2 linked regions of the Drosophila melanogaster genome follow. The protein of the gene in region 1 interacts with the protein of each later gene in a biochemical or structural test. Each region holds a gene or a part of one and is shown in the gene's direction. Other genes may lie near its edges.

Region 1 (3,755 bases):
TTGAAGGAAGTGCGTTCTTATCTACTGCAAGGTCTCACCTCCAAGGAGCCTACCTTGTACATAAGGGCTCTGCAAAATCTCCAGGATCCTGCTACCATTGAAGCTCTGCTGGAGCACGCTCAAACTGGCGAGGCTCCCAATTTATCGGTGGCTGCCTTACAGGCTCTGAAAGCCTTTCCCCTAGGTAGCTTTAACTCTTCACATCGCTTGCAGTTCGAGAGCATATTCTACCAGCGAAAGCGTCGCTTTGATAGCTCCGCTCGCACTCTGGCTCTTGATATTATCCTGTCCCTCCGGCCAACTCAGGAGCAATTGGGCAACTTCTTGGATTACCTAGCCTCCAATGATCGCCAGTTTGAGATCAAAACATACGTGCTGCAGAAGCTAAGAATGCTGGCTGAGAAGTGCCCGCGATTTAGGGCTTTGTTCAAATCGGAGCTTGTCAAGCGGAGGCATGTAAACAACTACAATGTGCTGGGACAAAAGGGTGAGTACCTAATTTCCTAATGACACTGTTCAAACAATTATGAACTTTAATACTTACAGGTCTTACGACAGTCCTCACCCGTCAGCTTTCCCAGGCTCCAGCCTTCAACGAAACCCTGCTAAGTACCCAGGAAGTGTATCAGGGAATCCTGAAACGTGGCTCCGTGGAATTTCTGCTCCACGCAGGCCGTTCCCAAGCCAGCAGCTTTAAATTGGGCATCTACACTGCCGGCTTGGGCTCGCTGGTAGGCGATGGTGACTCCGGCGATGGAAATGATGCAATCCCGGCGGATGATGAGTTCAGCGAAGACGAAGCGGTCACCGCGGGCATGGAGATCAGTGTGCAGGGTGCTCAATTGCGACCCCTAGTATTCTTCAGCGGTCAGACCGAGCTAATGGGTCACGTGTGGGGAGGAAGTGCCTCGGACTCAACGCCCGCTTACCAGGCAACCACTTTGTCCCAGGATAACGAGCACTACATAATCCTGACCTCCGGGGCGACGCTCCACTGGCGAGTTCTGGGCGCCAGGAGTGTGGATCTCAATGGCAAGGTGGGATTCAGCCTGTGGAATCGAAATGCCCAGACGGAAATCCAGCAGAAGTAAGTGAAAAAGCCAAAGCATTTGATTGGAATGTTATTTAACTCACGATTAACTTTTGGCTTATAGCACTGGCAGCGCTGTTCTTGGTCATTTGGCCGTTGGCTTTACGTATGCGAAATTAGTGCAGGATTTCAGCATCACCCACGAACCAAAGTTGAGTCTGAATGCGGACTTGGACTTCTACAGCGGCATTAAATTGTGCATGCAACTCCAGCGACCTGAACAGCTTCTCAAGTAAGTTTGCTAGAACTATTTTAATGACTCACATGCTAATTGAAAGCCTCCTTCACAGACAAACCAACGTTCGTTCGGTTTTCCTGCAGTCTGTTGATCGTCCTTATGCCAAACATGTGCGCTCTACACTCTCCCACAAAACTGCCGGCTGCACTTTTGCCCTCAACCAAAAAAACAACGAAATGTGCAACCTCATTTTTAGGGACTTGTAGATTCTACTCAAGAGATTATTGGAGATTCCTTGCATAAAAACTATATTTCTATGTGAAAACTCAGAGATTAAGACTCGATATAGTTGTAAACTTAAACGAACAAAGACCATTTAATTTTCAAATGCAACAAGTTTTTAATATCTTTTGAGCAACTCGAAAATTACTGGAAAAGTGGAAATGTGCATTTTTTCTCGATTCACAATAGTCACACCTTAGATTTAAAAATCCCGCCCAAGTGCTGCGAAACGCGAAAGGGGACTTATCGAGCTATCGATTGCAAGAGCTACGCATTCCCATCCCTAAATTCCGCAGTACATTCAAACACTACTACGTTGTGCTTCTTCTTCAAACGCGGCATAAAAGAGGTGCACTCCACAAGCACGAAAAGAAAATAACTACTGCAAAAATATCGTCGAACGCACGAGTCATATTAAATAAAGGTTAATAGAAGCAGGCATCGGAAAAGCTTGATTCCGGAGAAGTGAAACAAATTAGGCCACCGAATGGTGCTCTTCTTCTTTTTGTCGGAATTAGAAGGCTCGTCGCACACACACAGTCGCAAACAAATGCGAAATCAAAAGCGTCATCCGATTGTCTAAAGTAAATACTTCTATTTGCAAGCTGAAAGGCGCGACAAATTAAATAGTTCAAACTTAATAAATCGATATTTGTGTCACCAATTTGCGCGTTTAAATCAAGTGCTAAGCAATGTACTAAAATTAACAATTCCCTTGCCTTTTAAACTCATACAAACACAATTGGAGCGAGAAAGAGATGGGAAAGAAGAAGAATTGTTGTTGTTGACGTGTTCTGTTTGTGCTCATGTGTGCGTGTTCGGGAATTTCTGTTGCGTGAAGTTGCAATACCAAAAAAACCACGTGTGAAATGTTCTGCAATTTTTGTAATTTATTCTGCTGAATTGTTATCACTTTTTAAGAAAACAATCTGTAAGAGGCGTTTGCCTTGGCATCTTATTGGCACAACATTTTAACGCAAATTACTACTCCGTACGAAAGCATTAAGAATCATAAATAAATAAAAAACGAGATCTGAAATCTGAAATATGTATATTGAAGAAAGATCTAGAATATCCAAAACCAGGGGCACAGATGGTGACTATTTTTGTGAACTGCATTGTGATAGGGGTACCTTTTTACCACACACACTTGCGCACTTGCTGCTCTCTCCCTATTCTCCCACTTTTTATAACGGTATCACGCACCCTGCTTATCGGCATTGTGAAAATTTTGTTTGGCTTTAAAGAAATTTCCATTCATAATAATTTTGTGTATTTCAAAAGTTGGTTTATTTGCAAAAATATGTATAAATTCATTTGCTAACATTAGTTTTTTACTTGTATGGTTTGGGTGATGCTCTCTCAAACTTCTTTAAGTCTCACTCGTCCGACATCCAACCGCACAGTGGGAAAGTTCTTAATCCTTTCTGCCATTATTTCAGTGCTTAAAACAGGATTTTTTGTGTGAAAAATCCGAATTCACTGATATAAATACACTAAATTGTTGTTATGTTATGTTTTAGTAAAGTTGGAATTAGCTTGATAAAATCATGATTTTATTATTCTTTAGTTTTTTAATAATGAGATTTTGTAAATTGTTCCTAAACAATAAACAATAATAACTAAAAAAAAAAAACAGTATTTCATGCATACCACTGCACATTAATCCCACTGTTCGTCAAACGTTGGAGAGCGAGCAACGACGAGAGGTTCGCAACCGAAGCAGCAAACGAAAGTCTATTTAAGCAACCCGCAAAAGGCGCTCTTTCGTATTGCCCGATAATTTTTCGACCGCGCTGCTTGTGTTTTCGGTTCCCGCTGAAACAAACATAAAAAAAAGAATATAAAAAATATATATAAAAAAAAATGGATGTAGGGCGAAAATAGTTAAACCACTTTAAATATACGAAATACGCGAATTTCGGAAACTAGAAAATCCATCTTTTAAGGTAGTTTATTTATCCATCTCGCTTTTTCACTCTCCTCTGTGTGCGTGCGTGAGTGTGTGTGTAAAGGCCAAATAGTGCCCTTCGCCTCCCCGGCCACGCCCCCTTGGGCAGAGTAATAAAATGGGAAAGAGAATATATATCTTGCTCCTTTAGAATTTACCTGTGAAAGTGAAAACGTGACAACACGATAAAACGGACGAAGCAAGCAAAACAAAAAACGAGTGCATAAAAACAACGAAGGAGGATAAGAAAAAGA
Region 2 (3,755 bases), on another chromosome or scaffold:
CTTCCGCCATGCTGCTGTACTGCACCTCATGTGGCGCCAATCCGTCACATTACCTTTGCACGTTGAAGACTCTCCAAAACTACGTCTGCAAGGTTTGCTCAGCCGTCAGCCCGGAGGCAGTGCCCGTTGCCGAATCGGACTCGGATGACGCCGGCTCAATGGACGACTCGGCCGAAGCCCCACGTCCAGGTCACCTAAATGGTGATCAGATTCAAGAGAAGCTATCACCCTCCCATTGGGATGATTTCGGCTCCTCCGACGATGATGCCGTCTTTCAGCGTGCGTTCGATACCAAAGTGCAGAGTCGCGTGGTGACCCTCTCCGATGATCAACCATCTACTTCTGCGGGGGCACGCGCTTTAGCCGATCGTGGAACTCGCACATTTGAATCACAGGGAACGCAAACAACATTTCTCTCAAGTGTAGTAACCTCGTTTCGCTCTGCTACTGCAACTGCGACATCATCCACATCCACATCCACATCCACATCCGCATCGACACTTGATAACCAAGAAAACACTGAGCCGTCCACATCGAATGGACGTCGTCCCTGGCGCCCTAGATACGTCTCGCCGCCTAGACACGTGTCGGATAGCGATGACGATAGTGATGAATATGATAGTGATGAATATGAGTCGAAGAGGCGCCAACTTACGCCCACTGCCGCTGCGCCGTCGAATGGCAGGCGTCTGTTGGGCTCCATCTCGCCGGAGCCGAGCACTCCTGCTCCACGTGTCTTACGTCGCCGCACTTTGGCCAACAGGCCTTCCTCACTCGCCAACATGGATATATCCTGTGTGGCCAATAGGACCCGCCACCGCTTGTCCAACCACATGGCCAGCCGCAAGGATTAGGAGAACAGATGACATTACAATAGATCACACTCGCACAAATCCATGTACACGGCAAGATCAATATGGATATATCCTGAGTGGGCAGGATACCCGCAGGGACTAGGAGAACAGATGACAACATCACGATACATAACACTTGCACATTCCATTAACCATCACATCGACTAGGTTGTGGACCAAATGCGTGCGTTTGGTTCGCACCCGTTATTCTCTATTTTCCGCCTTTTGTACATATAAAATTCCATTAAAATCCTGTTCTCCTAGCGGTATTCGCTAATAAGATGCATTTACCATTTATTTGCTTTGTTAAGTAAGCTAAGTAAGTGCTCCTTTCCACACGTATAAATAACTTGTATACATATTTACTTTAAGTAGCTGTAGACATTATTTTCCCCATCTGACTTTCTTTTCAGCAGCTCGCAGTGCCTACATTATTTCAATTACTCTAAGCATTACATTTTTTTGACTAGCGATCTAAGAATCCCTGAATCCAGTATCTGTATCAAGAATCCCAGTATCTGAACGCTAAAATGAAATAAATAAAATTAAAATATTTGAAAAATAAGTTAGAATGATTTTATTTGGATGTTGAAAAAACTTCTCAAAAGTTGTAAACTACGAATACTCACTTTCATTAAGAGTATAGCGTTTTGCTTCTAGTTAATACCCGCTACAAATCGGTATGAAAGTATATAATATTTAGTTTTTTTTTTGGTATTAATATAATATGGGCTTTATAAGTGATTATTTGAAGATTTTTTAAAAATCGCGCCATTCATAATAAATAAGTGCTGGATATGGCCAAAAGTTTATGCACAGGTGGCAACGTTAGCAACCCGCTAAACGGCAACACTTGCGATAATGTTCTCTAAATATATCGATACATATTGATATTAAAAAAAATTGCCAGTATTAATTTATTAAACTAATTTAATTTTTTGAGTGGGCACATTGCATATTTAGTTACAGAAAAATTCGACTTTATGCTCCGGCTAAATGAATCGATGTTTGTGGGGTACTATCTATCCTAAACTATCGATAGCATAAACATCGCATTTGGTTCCGTCTCTAGTGTGGGTGCGTTAGCAATAGTTTATCCAGAATATGAATTAACCAGAATTAATCCGCAACGCCGACGCCCACAAATTCCCACAAATCGTCGTCCTTTCAGCGCTGCAAGAGCAACCCGGAAGCTGGAAAGTTCGAGACCGCCGAGAAGCCCAATATAAATTCAACAGTCAGCCAGAGCTTCACTCCTGTGTGTGTGTGCGTGCGTGCGTATGTGTTCGTGTGTTGTGTCTGTGCTACAGTGTTGGAGAGAGCGAGACGCACGATTGCGAGGGAGTCGAGCTTTGCGAAAATTTGCCAGCCTATATTGAAATATTTTCGGCACCAAATCGCCGTCTTATCCGCCAGCAAGCCATTGGATCTGATGGAAATGAGCCTGCCGCTCGATTTCTCTTCGCAAATCCGCTGTTAAAGCAAAAGCAACAATTGTACCAGTGGAGCCAAAAAAAGAGAAACACACCTACCTAATCAAAGGAAATTAAATAACAAGGCGGCGGCAACAACACTTACATAAATTAACTCGCAACGCAACAACACTAATAACTATAGCTTATCACACAGCAACAAAAACATCAGCAACAGCAGCAAAAACAACAACAACAACAGACCAGCAGCCAGAAAGAACAACAGCTTATCTCAGATATTCAGCCGGCTGCACCAGTGCGAGCGAGAGGGTCGTAGCTTGGGGCGAAAGAGAGGGCGCTTCCGAGAGAGTGCGAAAGAGAGAGAGAGAGAGAGTAAGCGCAGGGAGTGTGCTCCTGTGTGTGTGAGTGTGGGAGCAGGCAGCAGAAAAAAAGAAAACAAAAGTATATTTTGCATTGTTCGACGCGCCTAACTGTAAATATAAAAGCACTTGCAAAAACAAGGAAAAACACAGAAAAACAGCGAAAAAACGTCGAAAAATGGCACGCGGCTTCGATCATCTATTCAAGTTGCTAATAATCGGCGATAGCGGTGAGTTTCCCAGGCATTCCCGTTTCCCACAGACCAGGTGCTTAAAAATAGCATCGAGTTGAAAATAGCAGGTGTAAATTGCAATTTGTCCCCGTTTCCTGGCCAAAAACGCAGTTGTCTCCACCTCCCTTTCGCATTACTGCATCTGATTACCATTAATGTATGTTACATTTAAAATGCTAACGCCAACATGGCGTATGAGTAATGTTGTTTTCAGTTTCCATAATACTTTCAACATTCGTCAGCTTCTTGTTTCTATACTCAATGTTTTTGGCATACTCAACATGTGTTAGGTTGTACTAATTTTATATATTTAATCATAAATGCAAAAGCACTTTATATCAGTCCTGTCCTCCTCCTAACGTAGCTATCTACATATTCATTTGGGCGTATTTCGAGAAAGGTGGTCTGGCTCGGGCAAAACCAGGCTCATGACTAATGGTGACGCACTGGCAGGATATACAGCTTGATATGCGAGCAGACCAGCTGCGGCGGTAACCGGAGCAGGAGAACACTCCCCGCTCCACAGCAATGTCATATGCCGAATGGGCTTACTTGTGTGTAGTAACGATATCACATTTTTGTAATACGAATCCCATTCCATCTTTCCATCTGATCCCCTGCAGGCGTGGGCAAGTCGTCGCTGCTCATCCGGTTCTCGGACGACACATTCTCAGGCAGTTACATCACCACCATCGGCGTGGACTTTAAGATCCGCACCGTGGACATCGAGGGCATGCGCGTAAAGCTGCAGATCTGGGACACGGCCGGGCAGGAGCGCTTCCGGACAATCACCAGCACCTACTACCGCGGCACCCACGGCGTCATTGTCGTCTACGACGTCACGAACGGCGAATCCTTTGCGAACGTCCGCCGCTG

What was found. The genes of interacting proteins can lie anywhere in the genome.
Region 2: of the proteins of sky (region 1) and Rab35, one has a biochemical effect on the other in vitro, tested with the Drosophila melanogaster proteins (one study listed by BioGRID).

Annotation. Positions count from the first base shown.
Region 1 is NT_033779.5:20,917,018-20,920,772, reverse strand, and holds the start of sky (skywalker), read left to right. Parts: upstream 1-1,841; 5' UTR 1,842-1,974; exon of another isoform or gene 1,975-2,134; intron 2,135-3,311; exon of another isoform or gene 3,312-3,630; 5' UTR 3,631-3,755. Other genes in the region: Mtp (microsomal triacylglycerol transfer protein), read left to right, coding at 1-487, 547-1,087, 1,155-1,322, 1,381-1,534. UniProt on the Drosophila melanogaster protein: GTPase-activating protein (GAP) for Rab35 which regulates synaptic vesicle (SV) protein recycling and turnover at the neuromuscular junction boutons and possibly ventral nerve cord via endosomal trafficking.
Region 2 is NC_004354.4:20,158,017-20,161,771, reverse strand, and holds the start of Rab35 (Rab35), read left to right. Parts: upstream 1-1,899; 5' UTR 1,900-2,824; coding exon 2,825-2,876; intron 2,877-3,243; exon of another isoform or gene 3,244-3,414; coding exon of another isoform or gene 3,415-3,433; intron 3,434-3,502; coding exon 3,503-3,755. Other genes in the region: Phf7 (PHD finger protein 7), read left to right, coding at 1-854.